4 linked regions of the Lonchura striata genome follow. The protein of the gene in region 4 purifies or fractionates together with the protein of the main gene of each other region. This does not show direct contact. Links are inferred from orthologs where the notes say so. Each region holds a gene or a part of one and is shown on either strand. Other genes may lie near its edges.

Region 1 (7,793 bases), on a different chromosome or scaffold from region 4:
CGCAGCAGGAGGGGCCCAGCTGTGCAGGCAGATTTCCCTCTGTCAGTTCCCACCTCTTTGTTCCCAAACTGCTCTCGCACATTTTATAACAGTTTGACATCACTAGATGAGATTTACTGACTGGATTTCTACCTGCCACCCCCAAATTACAGAGCTCCTTATGCAAAGAGGCCCTGGGAGCACCCAGCCTCTGACAGGTTTTCCTGTGGCAACACGGTCCAGTAGAAAACCCACACTTGAAGAAATAAAAAATGAGTGATCCAGATCATAAATCTTGCAATGCCAAGAGACAAACAGAATATTTCTATTTATTTTAGCATAATTATTACTAACTGAATAGGTGGAAGAAATTTGGTACTAGGTGACCAATTTAGCTTAAGTAATCTATAATTTGCAAGTCTCTGCTGAATTCTGGGACTGTGTAAGTAGCACATTTATTTGCATAATATGATTTCCTTCAAAAATTATTTCCTACTTTAAAAGACCAATGTAAACAGACTGACTTCAAAAATGGCAACCTAAAGTTAAAGGAGTTATATCAGAGCTGTGTAAATGTCAACTGGCATCGACACATTTGATGTTTAAAGACATGTTTAAGCTTATAAATAAAATAGATTGGCAACAACTTTTGATATCCCTCTGCTTCATAACCTTTCTGACAAAGAAACAATTTAAATCAGAGCGAGGAAGAAAAGTAGAAGGAAAATTGAATAGCTTGGTATAATTCAGTATAAAGAAGGCAGTTAACTGAGGCAGAAGGGATATTAAAAGGCTTACTGACACTGCATACCTCTAAAACATTAAACTATGACACAGGGAATATAATACACATTTTAAACAAAGAAATATGCAAAGAAGAAACCCATCAGTCTTTACACCAGCATAGTTCACAGCTCACCTGTAGCTGATTCAACAAACAGAATCTCACAAAGGTTCCAGATCAGCTCCATTGCGGAGAGAATGGAAACCTGAAGGAAAGCAGGGCCAAGTTTCAGAAACAGTCATTCCACCTGGGTTTTTTAACCACACAAAGGCATCTGCTGTCCACAGAAATCAGTTCTTACAGAGAAACATCATACTGACATTGCAGAGATAAAAATTAAAAGACACAGGCCACAATTTCACACTCTTTGGTCAGAGAACACTGACACTGTGTAATGAAATGCAACAATAATCTGTCACCAGTGAGCAATATAACTGGTCTTATTTTCAGCCTTTTAAGATTCAATACAAACATCAAAGGCAGAAAGAACAGCCAATGAAGCAACACCACTGCAGCTGATAGGACAGAGCTGGTGTGAGCACTCTGCTCCTCCCAGAACGCTCTGGTGGATCTGACAGCTCACCCTCAACACCCAGAGGTTGCTGTGAGGCTCAGATGCTGCTGATTGGAATCTGAGAGTTTGAGAGGTGAAACACCACACAGCAAGTCTGAAACTTTTCTTGTCAGCTTTGGGATCACAAGAAAACATCACATCTAGAACAGAAAATATGTTTACAACATTGCAGTGAATTGAGGTGTTTGGCATCTTTATTGTTTCAGAAGCACAGGAATTAACTATTTATTTCAATTTATTCTTGGTCATGAACTGCATCTCATATACAAGACAGAGTTAAATCTGAAGTGCCTCGTGCCACAGAGGTGGCCTGGTGAATTCACCAGGCAGTAATCCACGTTCAACCTGACAGGACTGCAGATTACCTGAGTGCTGTACTGGCCTTGCAGGGCAGGGTCCTGGGTCGAAACTGAAGGAAAAGCAAATAAAGTCAAAGAGCAACATATTTACATTTGCCAGCTGCTTCTGAGCTTTGATAGCTTTCCATATATCTGCCACATGAGATACGAAAAGGCTGCAAGTCCCCAGAAAATCAGTTACAATATGGTGGGAAAAAACCAGTCCATGACCAGATTCACAAACCAACGTGGAAATATCCCACATGGAAATAGAATCTTGCCAATTACTGAAACCTATACATGTTATTGTACAGCACTTGCAGTAAGTTACTATTACAATCCTACTTTTGTAATTGCAACTGGTGTTTCCTTTTCTTGCAGGAAGAGAACAAACAAACTTACCAGCTGCCTGGTGCATGTCCTCCATGCAGGCTCTTATCACTGACCGGTAGTTTTTACTCACTTGAACCAATCTGCCAAACACAAAAAGACTTTGATTGGAGGGAGCTGTTGGAGTTTTAGTGTTATGCCCCCTATAACTGCAAGTTTCTCTGCAGCAACAACTCCCATTACCTGGGTGGATCCAGCTGGAATCAATGAAACTGTACCACATTCTACTAGCATGGTTATTGGAAGGATCCGATCCTTGATTTATAAAATATCCCCAAAATAGTCATTCTATCTGCCTCGCTGCTGATTCCAGAGCTGGTGAAAGCAGCCTGGCCAATGGCACTTGCCCCACCTGAGGCGTTCGTCAGCCCTTGGCGCTGGCCCCGGCTGGAGAAGGGGCAGCGGCTGCCTCCTTCGCATCTCCCCATCCACTCACTGCGCCTTCCGCGACTTCCCCGCCAGCTCCTCCTCGCTCCGCTGCAGCCCCATGAAAATCCCGTGCGACTCGTTGAAGAGTTTCCGCAGGGTCTGGATGTAAATGTCCTGGTCCCTGCGGACCACGAAGACGCAGGAGGAGCTCGGTGCTCCATCCCCGGTACCTGCAACAGAGCCCGTCAGCGCCCGGCAGCAGCGCCCGCCCTGCCCTCACCCAGAACCGCGATGGGCACGGGGAGCGGAGCCCACCTGCGCGGCCGAAGAGCGTCTCGCACACCAGCACCTCCGCGGGGCCCCAGGCGAAGCAGAGCTGCCGGGCCGAGGGGTCCGCGCCCGGCACCACCTGCGGGGGGACGGTGTCCGTCAGCGGCGCCCCGTTCAGCCCCGCAGCCCCCGGCCCCGCAGCCCCCGGCCCCGCAGCCCCCGGCCCGGCCCATCCCGCACCACCAGCGGCGGCTCCGCGTCCGGCTCGTCCATGGCGGCGGCCGCGCTGCTGCCGTTCCCGCCCGCCGGGCCGCTGCCGTTCCCGCCCGCCGGGCCGCCGAGGCCCCCCGGGCTGCCCGCGCCGCCGCCTGCGTGCCGCGAGCCCCCGCCGGGCCGGGGGCCGCTGTGCCGGGGGAGCCGCCCGGGCGCCGCCGGGACGGGAGGGAGCGCGGGTCCCGCGGCCCGGGACAGGCACCGGCGCTGCCCCCGGAAGCGCCGCCCGTGCGCGAGGCCCCGCCAGGCGGACGGACCCGCCCCGCCACCGCCCGGGCCGCCGGGCCTGAGCGCCGGGGCTGCGCCGAGCGGGCTGTGGGGATGGGGTGGGCTGGGGTGGATGCCAGCCCCTCACGGTGTTCCTCATTTTCTTGCCAGGACAGATTCAATGCTGGCTGGGAGCACTGCTGGCCCCAGGTGTGCCGTGCAGTGATGTCGTTGGTCAGTCAGCGTTCACAGATTCACCGAATAGGTTAAGTTGGAAGGACCACAAACTCGGGTCCAAACTGCCTGCTGCAGCAGGCTCATCTCAGAGTGCATGGCAGTGCGCTGTGTCCAGACAGTTCTGGAATATCTCCAGTGAGGGAGACTGCGCATCCTGCCTGATCTCTGTCCAAGTGCACAGTCACTGTCAGTGTTTTCACGCTTCATTGTGTAACAACCCATGTCTCCTATTTCCTCATACATGTCAAACACGTGCAGGTTGAGAAGCCTCTGGGATGTTGAAGGTGATGCTCTCTGGAGCTCTTGGGCATTGATAAAGCTGACTAATCAAATTATGTGCTCTGACTTCAGAGAGTTGCCTGCAGGTTCGGGAAGGACATGTAATGAAGCAGGATCAAAGCAGGAAGAACTGCCACTGTGCTTCACTCACTCACTCACTCCCTGCCTCAGGGTCCAGGAGGAGGTGGAATATCCCCTGGACACTGGGCAGAGGTGCCTTCTGAGGCTGCTGGAGGCTCATCACCTTTCTGTTAACACTGGGAGCTCACCTACCATGGCATTCAACTCAATGCCATGGTGTGATAAAACACTCACAGCACCCTGCTCCTCTCCTTCCATTCTGCTCTCCTCCCTGCTTCTGTGAACTCCTCACTTTTTGCCTGTGCTAGCCAATAAGCAAGTTCTTCAGCAATATACTTTTTAAGACAAGTATTAGCAGTGCAGCTTTGTTGGTCTCACAGCTGGAACCAGTCCCTCTTAGGCTGGTGCCTTCCCAGAATGCTCACTAAAAAGAAACTTTTCAAGATAATGTAAATAATTTGCTGTCCTGTATGACAAATAGTGCAACACTCCATGGCTAAATTGCCCTTTTTTACTTATCAACTGCTGCATCCATCATTTCCAATAAAAATAAGGCCAGCAGTTATCTCTGGGAAGAGCATGTCATGTAACCAGTCATGCTGAGAAAAGAAAGTGGTGTCTCTTCAGGTCAGAACGAATAAATTTTTGCAGGTAGAACAAATTAAACATTCCAAAAGCTGCTTGAGAGACTGAAGACTCATCAGTTTTAAACCTGTCGTTGTTTATCATGGGTAAGGGTCTCTGTTTTGTTATTTGAGGATGTGCCTGTATTTTAATCTGCTGTACAAAGTCAAATTCACCTTATTGTCTTACACAATGGTGCTGCTCTGTGCTGCAGACTTCTGAGGATGTTTGTGGGCATTCCTAGATCCAGAATACCATTCCACACATCACTAAAAGGCTCTATATGCAATTCAAAACCGGATGTCTAAAAACCCAGGGGTACGAGGCCTCCTGCCACTGTTCCTCAAGGCTAAGGTGCTGCTTTTATAACTGCAGCAGATTCTTGTGAGTGGCAGAATATATTTAGAACATCCATGTAATACTGTGTAGAGATCCACCGTGTGGGAGGTTGATCTAGGAGTGGGACAGTGTCCTCTGCTGCTCCCAGGTCCATCTGTGGGAAGAGACACTGAAAGCTGGAACTCTTTGATCTTCTCCTGCTGTCTCTTGGCACACAGCGTCCACTTTGCTCTCTCCCTAAAAGTGTCAGTGGCTTTTCATATCCGCAGCATCTGTTGTTCATAAATGGATGGTTCCTGTGGAAATCATCTTGGAAAAGGTGAGTTTTGGTATGAAATCTTGACAATTTTTGGTCCTCTTGAACACTGGCTGGAGCTCTGCACATACCTAGAAAGGAAACCTTCCTGCTCGAGGCTTCTGTGCCTCTCAGTCCATATAATTGAGTAGAGTTGGGAATTTCCATGTCAGCATGGAATTTCACATTGCTCAGAAAGGCTTTGGAGTATGGGCTGTGGGTCCAGCAAGGGAAGCAAAGAGAAATTGTGTGGTTTACAGTCAGGAGAAAAAGAGAGAAAAAAAGATCTGATTAGGACAGGAGTTACTACCTTGTGAAATAGGAGGTTTGGAAGCTATTTGGGGAACAGAGGGAATGATCAGCATCATGAACAGGGAAGGCACAGCACAGGCAGGGCTATAGGCAAAAGGTATTTTCTATTCCCAGGGTTAAGCCAGAATTAATGAAGAACAAAGCCTGAGGAAAGCACTCAGACCTGCAGAGTCTGAGCTGGTAACCCAACGCACTCATTCACACCAAATTACTGAGTGCTTTTTGTTATTGCATTGGACTCAGTACAAAGTAACACTCAGTTTTGAAGGGGCTGGAGTTGGTTTTATAGGCTAATGTTTGCTGATGTGCAGGAGCATGCACCTTCTACCTGTAGCTGCTTTGGTATCAAAAAACTTAATATTTTAAAATCCCAGCATGAAGAACATGTATATGGAATGCCCATGTTCCCTGCCCTCTTCATCAGAGGGGGGAGAATTAAACCAAAGAGCTCTGCAAAATCTAGATTTATTCCTTATAAAACTGCAGTACAAGAGTGAAACAAAGTATGGAAATACTTTAAGAAAAAAACACGTGGAATTTTTTTCTCCCAAAGATGGAATTTCTCAGGAATTTTCACTGTGATGCTTCTCCATTCACTTCCCTTCAGCTTGGTGCATTGAAGAGGAGGAGCTCAGAGGGACAAAAACCTTTGCTTTGCTCCCCTCTGCTGCAGCCCGGACCCTGCAGGAGTGGAGCTTTTGTAGTTCCCAGTGTGGCTTCTCCCCCCGCTGCTTTCTCCCAGTGCTGCTGTCTGGCCTGTTCCTTTGCAGGTTTTAGTACTGATCATTGTCAGCTCCAGTTTCTCAGAGTTTCCTCTGTTGCTATGTAAAAAGAAAAGCCACACAGAGATGAGGTTTGTATAAACCTGCTCTGTGATTTGGGATCTGTTTGATTGGTGGTGAGACCAGTGCTGGTGCATCTGAAGCTGTTTTCAGCCTTTCTGAGCACATCTAACTCCCATATGTTCTGATAAATCCTAGAGTATTTTCCTGTCTTTTTTAGCACATTTGTTCTATTTGTGATGCTGCCTTAACGTGTGTCTCACTTGGTGTCATTTCTGCCTTCAGTTCTTTCATGCCACGCTCAGGCCTTGGCCAGCTTCATCCCACCTCCCCAAAAATCCTCCTCCTGGGCCTGCAGCACAGGGATCTTCAAGGAGGGAGGGGGAAGAAGTGAAAAGAACAAAATACAACAGGACCATCAAACCCCTTGAGCCCTTCCTCACACATCTCTGTGATGTTGCATCATCTCTAAAAATAGAACTTAAGTCCATTGGGAATCACAACTCATCTTTTGCTCTGTGAAGTACCCCTTGGGTTGGGAGTTTTGCTTTAAAAAGCCATGGATGAGATAGATAGAAGGGTGGGCATTAAGATGCTTTGTTTCCTTGTTCTCACTAGTAGAGTGACAACTTCTTAGTAGTAATGATCAATTTGAGAATGACCAAACCAAGTTGCCCATTGCTTTTCAGAGCTGGAATGAAAGGAGAAAGAAGACTACAGGAGCCTGAGGCATCACACATGAAGTGGGATTTGGGCAGAAGTGCATGGTCTTCCCCAGCCAGGGTGCTTCTCACCTCCCAGTACCTTAAACAAATAAAAAAATAATAGCATGAGTAATTAAACACAGAGAAAACAGGCAGGATCAACTGATAGATCTTTTGATGATAAATCAAGTAAATTGATACAGGTAGGAGTGGAAAGCAGAGCTCAAAGGATGATCTGTTTGAATTGCAGTCACAATTTGAAGCAGCATCTGTTGCCTTCTTAGGTTGAACTGAACACTTCCATGCCTGGGATTTTTTCAGAATTGACTCATTAAGACTCTTCAGGGGAAGTAAAATACTAAAACTTAAAGGTTCTATGAAATTTCAGGCTAAAGTTTGGACTGCAAGGGATTGTCAAAGACCACTGCTCACATTTTGTGGAAGCTCAGGTGGAAGCCTGGGACATCCTCCTGCCTCATGGCTGTTCCATTTTCTCAACTTGAGACTCAGATAAAGGTGTGGCTTCAGCTTCCTCTACCCAGTGGGTATTACTCTTCTGCAATTTCCAGAAAATGGCAGAAAAACTCCAATCTGTGCTCAGAAGGAGAGAGCTGGAATGTGAAGTAACATGACAAAGGCAGAGCAGAGGGACCAGAACTGACAGAGCAAGTCTGCAGCTCTGCCAGTAAGTGAAGTTTCTCTTCAGTCAGTATTTCACTGTGTGAGCAGTTTATTCTGGACAAGGAACATCTCTGAAATGGTGCAGAAAGTTTTGTCCTACCAGGAACGGGGGGTGTGTAACCACACAGCCACCTTGGTGTCATGACTCAAGAGTGTTCCCACATGGAACAGCACCAGTGTGGAGTGATACCCACCTGGAAAATCCATCCCTGGGGATTGACAGGGGTAATTTTTGTGAAGTTTCTTTTCCATCTACATGACATAGAGAAGCATTT
Region 2 (7,425 bases), about 11 Mb from region 4:
TTGGTTCCACTTTCTCTCATCTCCTTAATTATCCCATACTCATTTTACCTTGTTAATTGCTCACTCTTCTCTGGCTCTTTCTCATTTCAATAAATGCAACTATTAATACTCTTATTGTTTACAAGCCACCAACTACTCCATCATTCCCCTCCTCAGCTGGACAGGGGAGAGAAAATGTAATGAAAACTCATGGGTCAAGATAAAGACAGGGAGAGATCATTTACCAGTCACTGTCATGGGAAAAAGACTTGATTCAGCAAAAAGGAACTTAATTTCTTAAACATTATATCAGAGTGAGACAATGAGAAACAAAAGCTAAATATTGAAATGTCTTGCCTCCACCCCTCCCATCTTCCTGGGTTCAACTTCCCTCCTGATTTTCTCTACCTTCTCCCCTTTCTGCAGCGCAGAGGAATGGGGGTTGCAGCCCCATTAAGCATGCATCTCTGCTGCTCCTTCCTCCTCAAGGGAAGGACACTTCACTGTTCCCTTGCCCCAGTGTGGACTCCCCCCCAGAGGAGACAGTTCTTCACAAGCTTCTCCAATGGGAATCCTTCCCATGGGCTGCAGTGCTTCATGAACTGCTTCAGTGTGGGTCCCTTTTCAAGGGGTGCAGTCCTTCAGGAACAGGCTGCTCCAGCATGGGTTCCCTGAGGGATCACAAGTCCTGCCAGCAAACCTGCTCCAGGGTGGGCTCTTCTCTCCATGGTGTCCAAAGGTCCTTCCAGGAGCCTACTCCAGTGTGGGTTTCCCACAGGGTCACAGTCTGCTTTTGGGCATCCATCTGCTCTGGCATGGACCAGAGGGGACTGCAGGGGGATAGCTGCCTCATCATGGTCTTTACCACAGGCTGCAAGCGAATCTCTTCTCCAGTAACAGAAGCATCTCCTCCGCTTCCTTCTGCACTGGCCTTGGTGTCTACAGAGGTGTTCCTCTCACATATTCTCATTCCTCTCTGTGGCTGGAATTGCGCCTTTTCTTGCTTTCTTAAATCTGTTACCCCATACGAGCTACCACCATTGTTATGAGCCTGGCCTTAGCAGACAGCAGGTCTGTCTTGGAGCTTCCAGGTATTGGCTCTGCCAGACACAGGGGAAGCTTCTGGCAGCTTCTCACAGAAGCCACCCTTGAGGTTCCTCCACGACCAAAATCTGGCCACACAAACCCAGTACAAACATGCACCTCTATTCTCTTTTCTTTGTAAACTCGGTGAAAGGCTGGACTCCTCATGAAACCCCTTCTCCCTCATAGGGCACCTGCCCCCACATTCAATCAGCACTGTTTTTGTGGAAGCCTCAAAATTACCTCCTCTTAGGCAGCTCCATCTCTCCCCTATATCTCCCACCACCTGTCAGGCACTTGCCATAAGTTAGCTCTCCCTGAGAGGTTATTCTCTCTGTCATTCAGAGCTCTACCCTCCCCTTTCCCTTCCCTTGCTTGAGGACCATGCCTTTTGGAGACTCCTCTTTATCTTGCTCTCCAGACTCTAGAATAGGTGGTATAAAATTGTGTTCTTGTCCTCTTTCTCTTCTGTTACTTATCTCTATGTAATCCCTACCACAAACATAAAATCAACTCCCTAGCAGCTTAAAAATCCAGTGCTCTATTCAGACAAATCTCTAAAAGAGAGATCAAGCCAACCACAAGTAAAAGGGTACAATATAGATGCCTCTACCTACAATGTCACCTAGGCTGCCATTACAGCTAATCCTGTAGGAGGTATCTAAAGCCAGCCAGGAGAGGCACTCGGGAAAGGGCTGTTTCTTTTCCTCACCTAAAAAGAGAGTCCAGCTGAATGCATTGATGACTGTAACACAGACACCTAAAACTGGGCAAGATGAGTCATAGACCCTTTTTTCCAAATGCATCCTTGCCCATGATGCCTGCTCAGATAAGCCTTGCTGTCACTTGAAGTTCAAGCTTGGCTAAACCAGCCCACTTCATCCCATAGCCCCTCAGCTGCTGTTTAGGCCAATGTTCACATATGCCTATGACAGGGGGGCAGCTTTGGTCCAGACTCCTCCTCGTGTCCTTATTCAGATCATACCCAAACCTTGAAAACATTGTTCCACAAATAATTTCTGACATGAAGCCTTTCTGTCTCCATGCATGGAGCTAAGGCTCTCATCCACTCTGAATTGCCACTTTGAATTGTGCTTACTGCCAAAACACTTGTCCTTCCCTCAGTAAATACAGCCCTTTCCTGCACACAATCACTCTACATGTCTTTGTAAAGGATATAAGTCTAGCTGGTCCTCTGGTGCTGCCATGCCAATCTTTGCATTTTTCCCTTAGCTCCCTACTCTCTGTCACATCAGATGAGAGCTGCTTGTCCTTGCTTTTGAGCTCTTCCATAGCCCACCCCAGATCTGTCTCTCTCACACACAGCCTCTCACATGTAAAAGTCAGCTCTGCCATCAGCCATCAGATGGTGGCCAGGGCCAGGCTTCCTTCTTTGCAGGAAAATCCTGTCTCACCCCAGGACTTGTGCACAGCCTCCCCTAAGGTCAGGGGCTGGGCTGCTCTGTGAAATCCTCTTGCTTGGCATGGTGGGTTCCTTCTCCGTGACCTGTGCTCTTGTATGATAAAAAATTAATAGATCTAAAGTGGCAACAGCAGCACCAAGTCACAAAAAAGATTTGCATAATAATATAATAATGGCAATTCAACATTAAGAGGCATAGCTGTAATCTAGGCATAATGTATGATGGGAAAAATTAAATGCCTTTGCCACCCCTTTGATGATTCTTCTTCTGCTTAGAAGCATTGCAAATTTCGTAGAATCATAGAATGGCTTGGGTTGGAAGGGACTTTAAAGATATCTTGTTCCAATACCCCTGCCATGGGTAGGGATGCCTTCCTCTCGACTATTTGTTTATCAGTATCTGAAAATATTTTTTTTTAGATCAAAGAACACTTTTAACCACATTAAAATATATACACTGAAAGGAGTAGCATTAGACTTACACTTCTGACTTCATATTTACTTTTTCTCCTTTTGGTGACTAACAGTGTAACATTAATTTTTTGTTAATTTGTTGGGATTTTACATACAATTTCTTATTAAAATTAAAAGGAAAACTGCAGCTAAATAGCCTACCCCTTTAAATCCTTTTAAAGGGGTGACCTAATGACTGGCCCTCCAGTACCTGAAGGGCTCCTACAAGAAAGATGGACAGGGACTTTTTACAGGAACATGTTGTGACAGGAGAAGGGGAATGGATCCAAACTAAGAGTGTAGGTTTAGATTAGATAGTAGGAGGAAGTCTTTTACTGTGAGGATGACGATGCCCTGAAAGAGACTGCCCAGAGAAGCTGCTGGAGTGTACAAGGCCAGGCTGAACAGGGCTTTGAGCAGCCTGGTTCAGTGGGACGTGTTCCTGTCCGTGCAGGGGGGCTGCAGTTCCATGACCTTTAAAGTCCCTTCCAACTGTTATAAACGAGAGTTTATTTTAGCCAGATTAAAAAATAAAAATAATTTTATTAACGGTCAAATTCTATCTAGCCAGCCACACAGAAAGGACAGAGCCGAGCCCGGGGTCGACCCTGGGTGTGCAACAAGGAGTCAGCCTCAGCAGAGGTTTTCCCCTATGCCCACACACCTCCATCCTGGCACAGGCGGTTTTTATAGGGAAAATTCTGCCTGAGGCCAAGGTTTTAGCAATCAGTCCTTTCTTCTATTCGGAGTCCATATGTTAATAAGGATTTCTTTTTGGTGATGAGGAGAAAAATTCAATGTTGGGTGTTTACGGAAAGGCTTCATTCACATGGATCTGAGTATTTCCATGATATCCATCTTGGACGATCAGCACAGACGATCAGCACAGACGATCAGCAGACAATGGCCCATCTCCCGGCCGAGCCACATCTGTTTACTTGTAAATCAGTTTCCAGTATACACTCAAGTCTCACCTACAAAAAGGGGGGGGAGGAACTAATACAACGGGCATGATTTAACAAGCATCCAATATTACATATTTCATACAAGGAATGGCGCGAATTATATTTACTATACATAACACAACCCAAACCATTGTGCGATTTAATGAAATCCAGATAGACCGGGGTTGGAGGAAGAGGGACACAGGTAGGGAGGGCCATTTCTCTCTGTGCCGGCGGCTCCCCTCGGCGGGGCAGGAGAGCAGAGCCGTCCCCACCAGGTGCAGCCCGGGGGCCACGAACGGGCTCGGCCGGGCGCCGGTCCTGCCAGCCCACGAACTACAGCTCCCGGCGTGCCCCGCGGAAGACGGCAGACACCGGGGTGGGAGCGGAAGCAGCCGCTGCGCGGCACGCCGGGATCCGTAGTCCGGAGTCTGCCGCCGCAAGCGCCCGGGGCCGTGTCCCGCGCATTTGAAAATTCCCGCGGAGGCTCGCTGCGGATATCGCGAGAATTCGGCCCCCCCGCCCCCCCGCCCGCCCATCCCGTCCCGCCCCCCGCGCGGCGGGTGAGCGAGCGAGGTGGGTGCGCGGCGCGCGGGGCCGGGCCGGGCGAGGCCAGGCCAGGCCAGGCCAGGCCAGGCCAGGCCATTGTCGCCGCTGCGGGAGGGAGATGCCGCCGCCACCGGCACCGGCACGTACCGGGAGTGCGGGCTCGGCTGGGCTGGGGGCAGCGGCGCGGACAGGAGGAGGCGGCGGAGGTGGCGGCACCGGCGACCCCCGCCCGCCCGCCCGTGTGCCTTCGTTCTTCCCTTTCTTCCTTCCCCCCTGTACCAGCGGGTACCGGCCGCTCCCGAGCCTCATAGGCCGACACCGCCGCTGACGCGGGCCCGCGGGGGCCTCGGGCGGGCCCGGCTGCCTGTCCCTTATGTAAGTGACCCCCGGGCTGCGGCGCTGTGTCCGCCACACGTGCCCCGGTCCCCGGCGGCGGGAGAGGCCCGGGCGGCGCGGCCTGGGCAGCGCACATGGGAGGCTCCGCAGCCGGCAGGCTCTGGCAGGCTGGGGGACGTGGGAGATGCGGCGGCTGCCGCCAGTAGCTTTCCCTCCTGCCCGGCGCACGCCCACTGTTCTCGCCCGTTCGGTCGTGTATTTGGAGGGTTTTTCTTTTTTCTAATTCGGCTTCCCCCTCCCCCGCCGGGCGTCGGGGTTGTATTCCATGAGGAGGCGGGAAATGCGCTCTGTGCGTAGAGCGGCGATTGCGGGACGTGAGATGGGTGCAGTGGGGAGGCCACAGCTTTAGAAGAATGCAGTGCAATTTGTGGGGGTCTCGGCGTCTTTGCACGAAGCGAAACATCGCGAAGCAGAGTTGCTGCTTGCTTAAACAAAACTGCTCAGTTCCTTAATAAACTGTGAGTCCGTGTCTGGAGCTTCTGCCAATAGAATGCTTGGTGCCAGTCTTCCAGGTCTTATGATTGCTTCCTGGTCGTGTCTGGGGAAATTGGAGGAAATTGAGGGACTTGTTTGTGTCGGAATGGCTGCACCCCATTTGGGGTATAGGGCTGTGCCTGGCCGTGCAGGTGCCTTTGCAGGGCCAGTCTGGCTGCTTGTGTCAGCCTTGGCTGGCAGCTGTCCCATGCACTTGGGCACACAGCTCTGTATCTTGGTCAGGACAGCTCCTCATTTACATGCTGCCTCAGCTCTCCTTCGTGCATGGATTTGCCTGTGATTGGCTTTTTCAAGAGTGATCAAGCTTCTATTAATTATGCGTCTTCTGCCTAATAAGGTGTCGGACATAGTTTTGGAGAAGCAGTGGTGACAGGCCTTTTCTGGTGTGATGCTGGTTTGCTGGTGTGGAGAGAATAGAATCCTTAAATTGGCAAGTAAGAGTCACCCTGTTGCATGGGTTGCAGGTGTTTCTGTAATTGCTCTTGTCATGTTGCTGGTTGTAAAAACCTGTTGGAGAATTAAATGTTCCACATCCATCTGGATACAGCCTTGGGCAGCCTGCTCTAGGTGATGGCTTGAGCAGGGTGTTTAGAAGAGGTGGTCATGTGTGATTCTGGCAGGTCTTTCTCTTTGATGTGATTCTGGAATTTGTGCTGAGAAGGGCCAGCAGTGGGATGGCATACCAGTGTGGTATGCTGGAAATGTCTTTGAAAATACAGTAGTAGAACAAAGGAACAAATAGGAGATGAGAAATGGCAGCAAGGTCTCTGTTTTGATGTCAGTGATGCCAACATGTCCTGTGAAATCTTGTCTTCAGCTGTGACTGACCATATTTTTAGCATTTTCTTCAGTGAGCCCATAATGTTGTTGGCCTTTTAAATTGATTTTTGTGTAATACCATCAGTCAAAATTGACATCTCAGAACTCTGATTTGGCTGTATGTAGTTCTGCTTGAACACACAATTTCTTTCTTTCTTTTCCCTCCTTCCCTCTCCCCTCTCCCAAGCTTTGTAATCCAAAAATTTATGACATTTCTGTCTTTGGAAATAGTTTGTGGTGTTTGGAAGTTATAAGTTCCTAGGGTGAAAAAGAATACTCATTTTGGCAAATTGCATGCAGACTGCATTGCTGTAGGATACAGCTGGGTGCTTGAATTCTAGTTTATTCCTGAAAATAGAGTAAGCATGTGACATTTTACCCTAATCTGATTTCTAAGAGAAATAAGAATGTGATTGTAGTTATTGTTTCAAAGAGAGCTGAAATGCAGTTGCTGTTGGATATATCTCTTGAAATTGAGAGGCTTTGTGCCTTTAATCTAGATCTAAGGATTTCCCCTCTGTTTTGATTTCTTAGCAGTTCTTGGTTTAACTTAGCAAAATGATGCAAGGAAAGCAGCCTTACAGAGAGGTCAGTATATATTGTTCATAATTTGTTATAAATCAACATTGTTCCATGCCTGATTTCTAAAAGCAAAAAGAGTTGTTTAAACTGGTCATTGCCTTACTGGAGCAAAACTGAGCATGCCTGATGCTCTAGTATTTTCATTTTGTACAAAAATGGTTTAGGTCTTGGAGTTCTACTTACTTGATGTTTCTTACTGGTGTTTGTGGATCGATTTTTTTAATATAGTGGGCAGGAGTACACTGTGTTAACATATGAGCTTTTCATCTGTGAAGAATTCTTTTGGGATGGTGAGGAGTTTGTTTTTTAAACTCAAATCTCCGCAGTAGAGGACGTTTCAATTTGATATCCAATTTAGCCACACAAGGTTCTGTGCTCTTGGCACAGCAGGTAGGGTCGCTCAGGGTGATTCGTGGAGACCACACAGCTGAGAAGTTTCCTTGCATGCTCTTACCTGCCCTACTGAAAGATACTTGTTCACTCCTTTCTTAAAACTATCTTGCTATTATTGTGGTATATGGTATTAATAATCATATACTTACCATACAGACATCTCCATTTTTATTTACAAGAAAAAGAAAACAATTTTATTAACTGCAATAATTCTGGAATTTTATGCTCTTTTCTAAAATTCCTTAATACATGTTGTCAGAGTCGATGCTTTGTCAGGCTGGACAAATAGGCTGACAGGAACCTCATGTA
Region 3 (7,891 bases), on a different chromosome or scaffold from region 4:
GTCACTTCCAGAACATTGCTCTTGAAACAGCAGAAGACAAAAAGGTACTCTCTGTCATCTAATCCTAATTACAAGCTTGCTTATTCTTACCATTGATATGAACACCAGATAACAGGAAAAATAAAACAGGAGTTGGGATTATGGACTCCATCAATAAGTTGACCTCTAAAACGCTTTTAAAAGTTTTCAGTACATCCAATGGAGCACCTCAAAAGATATTCCTACACAATTTTCTCTATGTCATAATTCTGTTTTAAGATAAAGAACCTCTCTGTATGCCCTCTACATAATGTAGAGGCCAAGCAGAACCCAGCTGAGGATGCATGAAATTACCCACAGTTTTTCAATGCTTCTCAACAGGAAGAAAGAACAACATTTTTCTCTCCTACTGTGACATGGTCATTGACTCCACATGTGGAAGGGGAGGATATGAAAATTATAGAAAAAACACCTTGTGTCAGTGGTTATAAAATTTGAATTACTTCCTTTCCAAGGCCTACATCAGAAACAAGGTAGAGAGGAACACAAATATCAGTATGTTTTTGTGGTTAGCTCTTCAGAAAATTTACAACAGTAAGACCATGGGGAATAATAATAATAATAATAATAATAATAATAATAAAGATATCAGCTACACTATTAATCATAATAGACAAATTACAAAAATAATATTGTGTAATAAAGAAGCAAGATGAAGGAAAAAAGCTTCGAAATTCCAAGCAATTGTCTTCAATTGATTGTCAAGCATCTAGGCAAAAAACTCATCTAATGAAAAACATTTTATCCAGTATAAATATATTCAATACTCAGTATTTTCCATTTAAAAATTTTTCACAATATAACTGTAAATAACTTAAAGGTAAGATGTTTTACTTTACAGACTGTTACAGTCTGTAAGGGAGATCCAGTAAAAACAACTGTGAGAAAAAAAAAATTAGGTAAGTATTTCTACAGTTCATCCCCAGAAAGAAATATCTATAAAATTAGTGCAGATATATCAGTGTGTATTTTACATACATATATATATATATATATATATATATATATATATTTCTATTTTCCTGAAAAACAAGTATCCTAGACTTGTTAGTGTATTAAACAAGTAAAATTCTCCCTTGTTTACCCCAGCAAGAGGAGGAAACAGGAAACAGGAAAGTGACCAGTCTTTCTGCAGTAGAGGTGCTGGCAAAGTCAGTTTCAGGGGCATCGAACAAAAACAACAGTATAATACAGACTAACCTGAAATCTGCAAGTCCCAACAACCACATAATTGTTGCCACCATAAGCAATGAGGGAACATGGATCTCCACTGTCAAATGGATTGAATTTTACCACGTGCACATAATCCTCGCAATCCACAGTGTAAGAAATGTTTCTAGTAGAATCTTGCTTCATTTTCAGTGAACTAAGTCAAGGTATCACGGAAACTGTGTCTTCTTCAGGACAAAAATCCACATTCCTACACAAAAATTTAAAAAAGCATAGATGACTCATTGCATGAATAAAAACCGCAAAGTATTTGTGGCAGAGTAAATAAAAATTTCTGTAACATGTTCAAGAACACAAAAGCTGCACTTAAGTTTATTAGATGTAGCCTGTTTGTTTCAGAAATCAAAATATTTACTAAACTAACATACATTCAAAACTGTCTCTTTCTGACTTCAGCAATAACTGCAGATCTTGTACTACCCTTGGCAACCCAACACCAATACAAAAAACCAAGTAACTGCACATACTCCAGAAGAGTCGCGAACAGCATTTTAACATTTTCAACCAAATGAAAAGAAACAACACATCACTACCTTCAAATTCTCTTTACTTGTCTACCTCTTTATGGACTGTGAGTCTAACGAAAAACTGAGTTAACCAAGGTTGCAAAACTGTAAATGAAAACTCTGTCGCACATTCAACCAGTTTTCATGAAAATCAGGTTTCTGTACTAGAACACAAGAGGCCAAGACACACAGTTGATTTCAGAATCAATTCCTTGTAGTCCCAGTACAGATTTGAGATAAGCTTATGTCTTTTTGGGAAATCAGACCTTTAACTACACACCACGTGGAAAATCAGCTTGAAATCTCAGACCTTTGACAGATTTTGGTGTGTAAATGACCTGAAGGTCTCAGCATTCAAGCCCGAATGTTTAGCTTGGGAGCCAGCCAGGTCTGACAGAGGCATCACTCAAACACAGAGAGGCTCTCCGTAGTTATGTGTTTGTGTATTAATTCATACAACAGTCCACTATATTACCATAAATACTTTAGCCATATAACTTGCATAGCTTTGCTACTAAAGCCAAATGCAAATTTTAATCCTATCAAAAGTTTTTTTCCTTCAAGGCTTCCCATGAACACAAGCCTTTATAAAATCTTAGAGTGTTAAGGGTTTAGAACAGACCTTTAATATCATGTAGTCCTAAACCCCGCTGCCTTGGGCAGGGATACCTTCCACTAGACAAGGCTGTTAATGCCTCATCCAGCACTTGAACACTGCCAGGATTGGGACAGTGGCTAACCATTCTCACCGTAAAGTATGCCTTCCCCAAATGTAACTGAAGTTTCCCCTCTCTCAACCAAAGAAAGTAACCATTGCTTCTCGCCCTATCTCTACAGTCCCTCTCCTCTTTCCTGTAGAGCCACTTGAGATGCTGGAAGGTGCTTTGAGATCTCCACTCAAGTTCCTCCTCTCCAGGCTGAACAACCCCAACTTTCTCAGCCTGAATTATGGGCTGCCAGACCAGCTTGAAAACACCAAGAGTAAGATTACCTTCATTTCTTTAGAAAGCACGACTAAGGCAACCAGACCGCGTGGGTGCGCGTCACCTCCCCCATCCACGCGCATCCTTTGCCCTCCCTCCTTTTCCCTTCGGGGCCCAGCTGCTGCTCCCCAGCCAGGCTGCCCGAGCTCCCCGGGCCGGGGGTGGCCCAGCCCCGCTTCACACGCACCTCGGCACGCCGGCCGCCGCTCCCGCCGGGCCCGGCCGTTCCCAGCAGCGCCGGCCGCGGGCGGCGGCAGCGGCGCGGCTGCTTCCGGGGCAGCGGCCCCGCGCCCATTGGGCCGCGCGGCGGATTTGAACGCGGCGCGGCCCCGGCCCGGCCCCGCCGCAGCGGCAGCGCCGGCACCGCGCTCGGGGCACCGCGGCGCCCGCGATGGTGATGCCGATCCCGGCTTCTGGGTGTTAGGGGCGGCTCCGCAGGGGTTGTTCGGGCTGTTTCGCTGGGAGCGACAGGTATGGTCCCCTGGAAAGCTCGTAGGGTGGGGAGAAAGAGAAGCCTCCGGAGAGCTTTTACTCTGCCCAGCGCTGACTTGCAGCGCGCGTGTTTCATCCGCTGTGACCCCCCCCCATGCGACGTTGTCCCCTTCAAACGTTTTGGACAGTGAGAAGTTGCTGCTGCAGTCGTGCCTGTTTCCTCCCTGCCCCTTGCCCACACGTTTTGGACAGTGAGAAGTTGCTGCTGCAGTCGTGCCCGTTTCCTCCCTGCCCCTTGCCCACACTTCCTCGTTTTTTGCAGTCGTGCCAGCAACCGAAAACCGAACCCGCTGTGGTCTCTGCTTCGGCTGTATGGGAAAAGGTCGAAGGTTGAGTTTTGTTTTCTGGAGGTAAATGGGATAGGTATTGCTCCTGTACTGTCCTGGCGGTGTTAGGGAACTTTGTTTCAGAAAAGAACAAGTTTAAAGGCAAGTTTGTACCACATTGTCATGTACCTTGTCTTGACAAATGCAAGAAGGTGAGAGAGACCAAAGCATGAAGTAGCCCAATTATCGCCAGAGAAGATAATGCCTTATGGAAGTAAAAAAATCAAACTTAAAAAAAAAAAAAGGGAAAAGACCGTATCGGTAACAAAAGTGTTTAGAGTTGTCTGTGTTAGTAACTCTTAGAAATATTAAACATCTCTTTTTCCAGGATTAAAACGTCCTCATAGACACTCACCTGAATGTATAGTGAATGCAGAAAGTTCTGAAGATGCACTGAGGCTGCTTTTGGAGACAAATACTGTGATATCTGTGATAGCATTCCTTTATGTTGGCATGATATGCAAAGAAAATAAGGACTTTAAAGGTGTGACATACTTACACCCCTTACTTTCAGACTTGCTCTGTCATAGTGAGGCAAGTCTGGTTTAGCTGGAGGAGTTTATTCTAGGAACTTGGTCTTTAAGAAGATACAACAGGATTTGCACAGCTTTTTGGGAGGTGAAGACCTGCATATGTCTCTGGCCATAATTGTTTTTCACTTGATTATATCTATTGTCTAGTCTGGACAATGGTTACTTTTCAGCAAAAAATTTTACACTTGATCAAGTGTTTCAGAAGACAATGGCCTTTATTTTCCAACTCTGAAAGAACTACTGTATGTGGAGCAGACTGCATGTTGATGGCGTTACAACTGTCCATGGCTGAAGTCAATAAACAGGTTAGTGTTCTTGGTACTTGGCACACCTCAGACTTGGTTCCCTGGCTGCACTTTGTGCTTAAGCACCAACCTGAATTTACTTTGTTGTTGTTTCCTTCCTGTTTGTTAAAACAAGGTATGTCTGAGGGCCAGATGCAGCAAGGCAAGAAAATGAATATTTAAGAGCACTATTGAAGTGGGGTTTACAAAAAGGACCTGCAAGACAGATGGGAGGATGGAAGTGCTTTTATGTGTATATTTGAGCTCCAGCCTTTAAACAATAGTGTATTTCTACTGACTGTGTCACTTCTGTTTATTTCCATCCAATGTTTCTTTTGTGCTATAGATCAGGGTAAGAGAACTATGGCATTTGGGGTGCATTGTTTTTCTGAGTGCTCCCAAGAAGATTTCTGAATGGCATGTGACGAACATGATTACAAAACTGATTTGGTATAGTTTGTGCAAGTTGTACTTGCCACAGACCGTTCTTGGCTGCTGCTTTTCCTGACATTGGTCAGGTGGAGACCTATGTGTACCTGTAAGTTGTGAGTGTGTAGCCAGTACCAGGAGGAATTTTACGGCTTTCTTTGTGTGTGCACATGAAGTGTCTGTCAAATGTTGAAAAGGAGGAATAACCCTAAAGTGTCTCTGAAAGTAGCCTATGGCTCGTCAGAGGTGGAGGATGTCTGAAACATACCAGAAACAGTTGCAATATACAATCAGGCCTTTGCCTCTCATCTAAGGAGAGCTATCACAATACTTGTTTTAATAGTTTAAGATACTTTTTTAGGTTTACTAACCTAATTATTGATCAAAACAATACTGACTGGTTTTGGAAGACTTACTCAAGTGTTGCATAGTAAGTCAAACATGTAGTACAAAGCTTTAGTGTAAGAAAACCAAAACAAATGTACCAAATCAACAAACATACCAGAAACAGCAGAACCACATCAAAGTGAAATCCGTAAGCCAATTAAAAAATCCAAACAAACAGAAAACCTTCAGTTTGTGCATCAGAAAAAGATTTTGTAGTCTAAAATACGCAGACTAGGAATATCTCTTGCTAAGCATTAAGTATAAAACTGGTTAAGTCATCCCCCACTGTTAGATATGTTACAGTAAGGGTACAAGAATGCCAAGATACTACATTGGTACTTTTTGGAATGTAATATATTCCAGCCAGGAGCCTGGTGTCCTCACAATACCTATGCAAGCTGAAATGAGAACATCAGCATGCATCAAAAGTAACTCTTGGAAAACTGATAAAAGACATTAATGCAAAACTACATATGGAGGTGACAGCTGTTTGTCATGTTCGTTGTGATTCTCAAGGGAAAACTGCAAACAGTTTTCCAAAGCCAGCTCTGGGAACTAAAATATGTTGTTCCGCTGTATGCCAAAATTTACAGACATGAAAAGGTTATGGTTCATTGCTCCCTGTTTTCCTTGCAATAAGTTTTTTCTTCCACTAGAGGTAATTAGTTTATTCTACTTTATCCTTTTTTTCCTCTTCCAGATAATATTCCTCTCTTCCATAAATATCTCTTCTTTCAGAAATGGTCTAACAAAAATTATAGCAGTTATTTTCAACTAATTTAATTTTGAAATGTTTAGCTTCTTCAGATCTGAAGAAAGAACAAGTTTTCAAAAACCTGATTTGTTTTTTCTAGTTGGTCTAACAAGACAAACCTTGGTTTGTATATGTGGATTAAAATTATTTTAGGACTTGCATGTGCTGCCTCTGAAGCACAATTTCTTCAGATGGTATCCATTTTCAAGTTCACAGTCTTAAAACAGAATCTGTCTGGTTTATTTTGTTCAGTACTGAAACTTCAAACTAAGATGCAGAGTATTACATTTGTAGACATGTCACTTGTTAGGTTTCTGATTTAAATACAATAATTTGAATTGTTAGCACCTGTAGAATGGAAATCTATTTTAGTAAAGTCAATTACTGCAATAAAAATAATTCATTAACAGGCTGTATTGGGATAAACCCAACACATCCAACCTATCACAAATAACCAAAATACACTTCTCTTCATTTAGGAGTTTGGACAGTTTTAATGGATTTGGTGTTTTAATTGGTACCTGTATCCACAGTGGAAATGAAAAATAACAAAGCTTTTAGGAGAACTCTAGGAAAGTTTAAAAGCTTCATAATCTGTTAATCTTAAATTTCACCATAATAAGGATAGAAAAAAGTGTGATAATCCCTGATCCAACAGTAGGGATGAAAGAAAAAAAAAAGCAAATCTGTGGTCTGAATCCCTCTGAAAATACTTTGGGTTGTAGCCATGTGGCATAAGGTCTCTGAATAGAAGTAAATACCTTTCACCTAGATTGATTAGTATAGATCTAAAAATCTAGAAACATTTTCAAGAAGATTCTTCCTCAGGGTTTGAAATAATAAGAAAAGTTTTCAAGATGAAGTTCAGCTGAGGGTAATTGCTTTAAGTTGACTGTTTGTACCTGTGGATCATCAGGGGTAGAAGATGAGTTTTTGGTCAGATAATCACCTGTCATTTTCAGACTATGGCTGTTTTAGCTAGTGGGATGGGAAACTGAAGTGTATAAAACAATTATTTTTCCAGAATCTATGAGTTTAAATTGTCAGACTTAAATGTGTTGGAAATCTTTTCTAGAATGAGAACTTTGATACTGGAAGAGAAACTGCTTCTTTGTTGATTTTAGAAATTATCTTCCCTTTAGAAATTTGTTTTTGTATATTTCTGATTTTATATAAAAGCAGAAATATACAAAATGTTTGGTTTATTTCTGTTCTGTGCTTCCGCAAGTGCATTTGGATGCCGACTGGAGAATATTATGTTCTGTTTAGTATCTTTATTTCTTGAAATGATTTCCCAAATTGTCCTGTTTCCAAGTTGGCAAATGAAGAAAAAAGTGGAGTTTTACAGTGTTACTCCCTTAAACTGTTCTGTCTCCCTTTTGGTAATGAGATACTCCTGACTAACTTTGTAGCAATTTCATGTGATGTGCTGCTTGTAACATGTTGTAATGATGCTACTAAGTGAGATTGTCTTGGCTGTCCTTCAGCATGATTAATTTTTCACAGAATCACAGAAGGGTTGAAGTTGGAAGGGAACTCTGGAGGTCATCTTATCCAGCCTCCCTCAAAGGCACCTGTACAGGTGTCTTTCAAGTTGTCTCTGAGGTTGGAGACTCCATAGCCTCCCTGGACAATGTGTGCCAGTACTCAGGCATCCTCAGAGTAAAAAGGTGTTTCCCGATGTTCAGAGGGAACCTTCTGTGTGTGTTTCAGTTTTTGCCCATTGCCCCTGCTCCTGCCACTGGGCACCTTAGGAAGGCTCCTGCCTTCATCCTCTTTGCATCCTCCCTTCAGATATTTGTATGCTTTGAGATCTTCCCTGGGCATTCTTTTCTCCAGAATAAACAGCCACAGCTTTCTCAGCCTTTCCTCATATGTGAGGTGCTCCTGTCCCTTCATGATGTCTGTGGGTGATACGTTAACTTCCT
Region 4 (7,277 bases):
GAGAGAACTTATTAACTACTAACAGGGTAGAGAAGGGAAACACACCCCACTCCCCTACACCCTTGAAGTTAAACAACCAGAAAAATTGTAATCCCTTGAGAAATCTCTTCAAGTGCCAGAATGTGTACACCTGACACTCCTCTGTAAGTGCAGGACCTATATAATGAACATACCTTGTCTTGATTGAAAGAAAACTGATTTTGTAACTCTGATTTTGTTTTTCTCCGACTATCACTGAAATGATGCTGAAAGAAATACTGTCCAGAGAGGATACAAAAATTCTTGACCTAAGAAATCTAGGTGAAACGTATGTTCAGTAACCTCCGAAATTAACCATGTTTTTGGGGTTTGTTGCAACTTGAACATATCAACCAGATTTCAATTATCAAAATAAACTTTGCCAAGACTATCTAACCTAAGAGCTACACCCATTAAAATATGAAGAATTAACCTTAGTGCCAAGGTGACAAAACAGAAGAGAGGAATATAAAAATTATAAGCTCTCTCAAAAGCCTGAGTTTCAGTTACTGTTGTTAACATGACTTCATATCAATCCTGCTACTTTTGAGGAAAAACACACAAACTCCAACTGAAAAAAAAACCCCAACCCCATAATTGCGTTACCAGTTGAAATAGCATAAAATACAGACTTTCCATCTTGACCCTTCAGTTACCTTAGCTACTGCAGACTGACCAATCTTCCAAATAATCAGCCTCTCCTTATGAACTAGCCAGGCCCATCCACTTTCATCCACTTGAACGCTCAGCTGGTCATCAGCTACATAAAAAAGTAACTTCTTTAAAGCATTCAGATGTTTAAAACACTGCAGAGCAACATTTAAACCAATAAACTTTCATTCTTAAATGAAAATAAATATTTTCTATTAAATTAGTTTCCATGTTAGAATGTCCATCTATTTGATTAACATATCAAATTACTACATCTTGTTTAAAAATCCATTTGATAAACCCTCAACCTTTGAGAACGAAATGACAACCCCAAAACCCATTTCCTTGTATTTAGAGCAGATTTTAAGAGCTTTGTAAATCGCGCAACAATTTTAACATTATTTTTCAGAAATTTATTGGGTTCCTCTTATATCTACTATAAAGGAAAAACTTATGCACAGAGAAAAAACTGTTTAGGAGACCAATTTCTTGAACTCAGGGAATGGTTTGTATCACTAGGGCTTTTGGAAGAGATAACAAATGGGAATTGAAATAAAGAAAAATATTAAGCATCCACTCTAGGACACAGCAAAATCAAAACAAGTAAAAAAGGTAAGGAAGAACCAGTAAGTAAAAGTTACCAAAAACCTACTATTGGCTTTTCTTGTACCCTTGGTTTTATACAATAAATTGCATAAGCAGCACCTGAAGGGTATTTTCATGCATTCACACCCACATGGGCATTATTATAATTATTGTTACATATACAACCAGGTTGGATTCAAAGCAAGGCACAGACATTTTAGCTTCCCCTATAAAATCAGCATTTCAATGGCATCAACAACACATTAAGAATTCTCTCACCTGTCAAGTTTCATGGAGAAAAATAACATCAATTCTTACCATCAGCCTTCTTCAGGGCTTCCATAACCTTAACAGGCAGAGAGGACCCAAAGGCCTTAACATCATAGTTAATAGTCTCAGTTGCTGTAGGAAGCTGGATAATTCTGGTAGGAGTCGCTCTTAAACAAAACAAAAAGTTACAGTCAACTTTTTATTGCTTATTCATCAGTTTCAGCAGACATTTACTTCACAAGTATCTATTTAGAAACAGATTTATGTAAAATAAACATGCTTTCTCTGGGAACACCACCTAAAGCAAAAATTTGGTGGCTTCCTTACAAGTTCCTAGCTGTCATCAAATTCTTCATTTTTAAAGAACTGACTTTGAATACGCATTACTCCACCAGCAACAAACTCACCGTTCAACCTCTCTACACTCTGGTTATCTACAGAATGAAGACATTCACAATATCAGAAGAAGCTCAGCAGAAGCTCTTCCCTGACTGCAAGGACTAGTTCCATCCCTAGCTCTGGCACTGCTGGGCAGCACACGCTGTGCAACACTTTGAACAGCCATGGCAGCTTGGACCCAACAGCACTTCTACCACCCTTAGCTTGCTGCGGAGACTGCACTGACTACCATTTATAAAAGCTTCATTGTATCTTTCTCCACCTTCTGACTCTGGAACAGCACAGGTCTGTGTTGTCCTCTGGACACAGTGAGGTGGGCAAATTTATCTGCTTTTACAAGTTAATGCCCTCTTTTTATGTCTCCTCACAAGTGAATTGATGCCTCACACCTCCCTGTGTGAAATGGCAGAAGTTGATATATAGCTAGTAGACATTCCTGGCACCCTGAAAAAATTATTATGCAGACTTAAAGTAAAAGTTCTCCAAAACTGAACACTGGCAATCCTCTTTATCTTAACTGTACGACAAGTATCTTCTCCTGAGAGAAGAAATTATGAAGCCTGAAACTGGTCTGGGGCTCATGCTGTACCTCAGGGAGAAGACGGGGGAAGAAGCTGGGGAGAGACGCGGGTGTGAAATGCCTGAACTTTACTATTTTAGCTTATTTTTAAACACAGAAGTTCTTATAATTTTCATATCTCATAATTGTATCACACGGGGGTATATTTGAGGAACTCGCGCATTTAAAACCTAGTATGAGGTATTCACACCGCTGGACACGGAGCACCGTGTATGTGCAGCTTTAATGTACAGTACTGTGATATAACCCAGGCTGGCTCGAGCAGCTAACAGCGAGGCCGGGTCTGAGGCGAGGGGCAGACTCACCGCGCCGAGAGGGAGCCGCTCTTCCGCGCCACCGGCGAGAACAGCACCGGGGAGGCGGCTGCCGCCACCACGGGCAGGCCCTTCTTGCCGCTCGGCCGGGAGAGAGGGCTGGGCGCGGCGCTGCCCAGGGTCCTGCGGGCCGAGCCGCCCGGGGTGCGCGGGGAGGCGGGAGCCGACGGGAACATGGCTGTGGGTGCGGGAGCGGCACCGGCACCGCGCTGCCGCCGGGCGCCCGCGGAGCGCGTCACCGCGGGGCGGGGCCGCGCGGGAACAGCCGGCAGCCGAGCGCGGCCGAGAGGCGCCGAGCGCGGCCGAGCGCGGCCGAGCGCGGCCGGCAGGCGCCGAGCGGGGCCGAGCGCGGCCGGCAGGCGCCTAGCGGGGCCGAGCAGGAGCCGAGCGGGGCCGAGCAGGAGCTGAGCGGGGCCGAGCGCGGCCGGCAGGCGCCGAGCGGCACCGAGCAGGAGCCGAGCGGGGCCGAGCAGGCGCCGAGCGGGGCCGAGCGCGGCCGGCAGGCGCCGAGCGGGGCCGAGCAGGAGCCGAGCGGGGCCGGCAGGCGCCGAGCGGGGCCGAGCGCGGCCGGCAGGCGCCGAGCGGGGCCGAGCAGGAGCCGAGCGGAGCCGAGCGGAGCCGAGCGCGGCCGGCAGGCGCCGAGCGGGGCCGAGCAGGAGCCGAGCGGGGCCGAGCGCGGCCGGCAGGAGCCGATCGGGGCCGAGCGGGTCCGAGAGGCCGCAGGGCCGGCCCTGAGGGCGGAATGGCGGCCCGGGCTCCTCCCCCGCGCTGCCCGCCCTCAGCCGAGCTAAACACGGGCCTCACTCACCGGCCCTGAAGCTCCGTTCTTCGGGGCGCTCCCAGAGCATTCACAAGGGTGGGCTTGGGTACCATTCCCCGCCGAGTTCACGCGATTAGCTTGCACTAACCATCTGAATATGACCAAAAAGCAGCTGTTCAAAGACTATTTGGAAAGACGTATTTTCCAGCCTTATCTTTAAAATAGCCTGTGCATACCTGTGTTTGTCCCCACATTTCTAATTAAGTAAATAAATAAATACAGAAAACCATTTTCCATACAGACCTTGGCACGTTTCACATCTACGCTAAATAACAACCATGCACGACAGCTATTCTGTGGTATAAAAATAGATTTTAGCCTTCAAGGGGAACTAAATGCTCAATGGCATCAGTTAGCATTAAAAAGCTTTCAGAAGGTAAGTATGTACCACACTTGGGGAAGAAGTTGAGTTGAATGTATAGTATTAACAAAGCAAATCAGTTAAGATAAAATTAACTAAAAATAGAATATTTTTAAAAATTGCATAACTTTTCAAAACCATGGTTTTTGATAATAGATTCAGGGCTGTTAGACTTTCTATGTGGATTATGGTCCTCTATGACTGAACCCAAATGGTGACATTCAAATTATTTGAAAAACTGAAGGCTCCTTTTCACAGCTTGTTCCTAAAATATTTGAAACGATGCAGCATGAGAATTATGTTTTGCTGATTGAACCCTATCTATACGCAGCTACACTTCCTCAGGGAATTAGTCGGCTTCCTTTGGCTGTCTCAGCCCTGCAAGAGCTCCATCTTTACAAGATACAATTCAACATTCAAATCTAATTTTCTGCACAAAAATAGTTTGTACGGATACCAGTTAGAGACTTAACCACTTCTTGACTGTCCCATAAATATCCAAAAAAGTCTTCTAAACAATGTAACTGTTATGACATACATTTACCTTTTCGTGGACTAGAGCTTTTGTGTAGCTTTTCACACTTCTCTGTCAGCTGCACTACCTGCCAGGACAACTAATGAACAAAAGACATGAAACACTCATTCAGTTCAGCTGGAAGGAATTCCTGTAACCTGTGTAAATACAGGAATAAATGGGCTCATTGGATCTCAAATAAGGAGAAATCACATGAGTGAGGATTAAAGCTGCAAACCCCTCTAAATACATTAATAGTCAACAATGAAATTAAACATTGGGTCGGGAGTATTTTTTGCATAACTTTAGTACAACATATGCTTCTAGGAAAATTTTATCTGAAGATACAATCACATCTGGATGTAATTTTATTTTCATTCTCTAATAGTTTCACTGTATTCCACAAGGTGCCACTCATGGGACGAACATTTTAAGCTTGCCCAACACTAGGTATTTCAGCTATTGTGAATCAGGTCTTCCAGCATGGATGAGTTTTAATGTGACCTGGGAAGTTTCTAGCTTTGTAAAATCTTGTGGGGTTTTGCATCTTCAGAAATTCTATTGAAAGACTCTTCAATCAGAAACATGAAGCAAACTCTTCACTCTCAAACATATCCCCCTGCAGTTATTCAAATTAATGTAATGCTGCTATTTTACTAGTTGTCCTTGAAAATGTTGTTTACTAGTTGTTTCTAATAAAGTAATTAGGCAAAACTCATGATTTCTATCACTGAAATTTTAATTAACAATACAAAACTTATATATGCCTTAAAAAGGACAAAAACATATATGGGAGGGCATGTTCTTTTGGATGCCATCTTAGAGAGAAAGTGAAACTAAAGAAATGAGAAAATAGAAAACGGAAGAAAATGCATGAAAATTTTAGATTTTCCTATGTGACTTCATGTGGTAATTTGTTAACAATTGTTAAAAACAATTTCCTTTGTCCTTTTGTAAAGAAAGTTTTTTTGTTTGTTTGCCTTTTTTTCCATTGGGTGGTTTGTTTTATTAAAGAACTTTCCTCCAACTTGTGCTTTCATACCCTTTTCATATGTAATTCTCTACAGGAACTGTAGATGGGGATCACAGTCAACTTCAGAACACATAATCACATTGCAGAACAAATGGTATCTGGAAGGACAGCGCAGTGGAAGTCCGACAGAACTTTCACAGTGCGTTTGTGTCATGCATTTTTGAATTCCATCATTTTAAGACTCATGACAAGCACAAAACATGAAAGTTCCTTGGAAAGAGAGAGACAATTATATGAAAATGATAAGACTGTAATTTAATTACCTTTAAAATACTGAATTTACTTGAGAATGGAGCACATCTTCATACAATGCATTACAGCAAACAAGATTCTAGACAGTTTCAAAGTAACACAAGCAGAAAAATCTATGCCCTGAAATGATCTCAGTGTGACAGACATTTTTAAAAGTTACAATAGTTACTAAAAAGCTTTCAATAAAAAGTTTAAACACATTTAAGTTTCAAAATAATATTTTGTACATTTTGGAAAAATATAACATTTACATAACTGAAACATAAGTTATAGTCTTTGAAGTTTGTAATTATTCATACATTGTCTCATACGTTTTCTTTTAATATATCCTTTTCTCTGGATTGTAAATCTAATGCAAAAGTATCATTATTCTGAAGAAAAGCTTGTTTCTGCATCAGTTTCCTGAAAAGTCCATTTGGATTTGCAAGTAGTTCCTCATGTTTCCCACATTCAAGAATTTTACCCTGGCCAAGGACTGCAACGGAATCTGCATTTTGAATAGTAGACAGACGATGAGCAATAATTAGGACTGTCCTCCCTTCCATCAGCCGGTCCAGAGCCTCTTGCACTAGATACTCATTTTCAGCATCCAAAGCACTAGTAACAAATGGGAGGGGATGGGAGAGAGGAGAGGAGGATATTTGTTATTGTAAGGCAGGTTGGTTTTGTACGCATGAGGCTTATTTTGCCAAAACTGCAAACCCTCTCTATTTGTGGTGATGATGAACCACTGAAACTGCAGGAAAGTTTCATGAACATGCTCAGTGCTCACATCTAAGTTACAGTCATGACGTATTCTCAAATGCAAAAATAAGCATTGGAAAATAACACCAAAGAAAATCAGTGGAAAAAAAAATCAGTTACACTGCACAATAAGCCTAGTTGTTTTACACTAGGATCTAAACTTAAACTACAGAGCCAAAAAAGCCTTAAGTAGATGTTTCAAAATCATGTTACACAGTATGAATTTAACTCAATGAAAAATCACAATGCACCAGCTATCCTTTCTGCTTTGCATAAATCTAAATAATGTATAATGATATGGAGAGAGAGAAAGAAAGAGAGCGAGTTCCCAAATCTGAGTTTTACAGGTACATAATTTCTAAGTTTCTATTTCTTTTCTTCTTACCTTGTTGCTTCATCTAACAGAAGAATTTTAGGATTCTAAAAATAAAAAAATTAAATTGGTTATAATAACAATTAAACAAGATCTGAATATTCATATCAATAGAGAACAGGATTCATACAGTTTAAAACTCCAATTAGGAGTACCTACTTCATCAAAAGAACTGAGCACCATTCAAAGCATTACTTCTAAGAAATCTAAATGCTAAGAGGACAAAACAAACAACACTCCTCAATTTTCAAATTTTCCAAACTAAAATAGCAGAATACTATTATGAGATAACCATTTGAAAGATACGAACTAAAGAGGGGAGATTATTTCTAAGGCATTCTTGGCAGCATCGTGGTCAAAAGT

What was found.
Region 1: the proteins of NUP133 (region 4) and NUP85 purify together in Homo sapiens (affinity purification with mass spectrometry; 5 studies listed by BioGRID and IntAct, with this or other methods). This does not show direct contact. The link is inferred for Lonchura striata from reciprocal best matches to the Homo sapiens genes NUP133 and NUP85.
Region 2: the proteins of NUP133 (region 4) and protein ELYS purify together in Homo sapiens (affinity purification with western blotting; 3 studies listed by BioGRID, with this or other methods). This does not show direct contact. The link is inferred for Lonchura striata from reciprocal best matches to the Homo sapiens genes NUP133 and AHCTF1.
Region 3: the proteins of NUP133 (region 4) and NUP37 purify together in Homo sapiens (affinity purification with mass spectrometry; 4 studies listed by BioGRID and IntAct, with this or other methods). This does not show direct contact. The link is inferred for Lonchura striata from reciprocal best matches to the Homo sapiens genes NUP133 and NUP37.

The regions. Positions count from the first base shown.
Region 1 is NC_134621.1:5,353,831-5,361,623, forward strand, and holds the start of NUP85 (nuclear pore complex protein Nup85), read right to left. Parts: upstream 3,013-7,793; 5' UTR 2,978-3,012; coding exon 2,945-2,977; intron 2,844-2,944; coding exon 2,750-2,843; intron 2,665-2,749; coding exon 2,502-2,664; intron 2,149-2,501; coding exon 2,078-2,148; intron 1,747-2,077; coding exon 1,703-1,746; intron 969-1,702; coding exon 899-968; intron 20-898; coding exon 1-19. UniProt on the Homo sapiens protein: Essential component of the nuclear pore complex (NPC) that seems to be required for NPC assembly and maintenance. As part of the NPC Nup107-160 subcomplex plays a role in RNA export and in tethering NUP96/Nup98 and NUP153 to the nucleus.
Region 2 is NC_134605.1:32,730,913-32,738,337, reverse strand, and holds the start of protein ELYS, read left to right. Parts: upstream 1-4,416; 5' UTR 4,417-4,458; intron 4,459-4,699; exon of another isoform or gene 4,700-4,806; intron 4,807-5,659; exon of another isoform or gene 5,660-5,756; intron 5,757-7,425. UniProt on the Homo sapiens protein: Required for the assembly of a functional nuclear pore complex (NPC) on the surface of chromosomes as nuclei form at the end of mitosis. May initiate NPC assembly by binding to chromatin and recruiting the Nup107-160 subcomplex of the NPC.
Region 3 is NC_134607.1:19,258,078-19,265,968, forward strand, and holds the start of NUP37 (nucleoporin Nup37), read right to left. Parts: upstream 3,018-7,891; 5' UTR 2,946-3,017; intron 2,910-2,945; exon of another isoform or gene 2,767-2,909; intron 1,460-2,766; 5' UTR 1,396-1,459; coding exon 1,240-1,395; intron 1-1,239. Other genes in the region: PARPBP (PCNA-interacting partner), read left to right, coding at 4,265-4,414. UniProt on the Homo sapiens protein: Component of the Nup107-160 subcomplex of the nuclear pore complex (NPC). The Nup107-160 subcomplex is required for the assembly of a functional NPC.
Region 4 is NC_134605.1:43,277,525-43,284,801, reverse strand, and holds the start of NUP133 (nuclear pore complex protein Nup133), read right to left. Parts: upstream 3,013-7,277; 5' UTR 2,994-3,012; coding exon 2,809-2,993; intron 1,692-2,808; coding exon 1,573-1,691; intron 779-1,572; coding exon 675-778; intron 1-674. Other genes in the region: ABCB10 (ATP-binding cassette sub-family B member 10, mitochondrial), read right to left, coding at 6,103-6,394, 6,927-6,961. UniProt on the Homo sapiens protein: Involved in poly(A)+ RNA transport. Involved in nephrogenesis.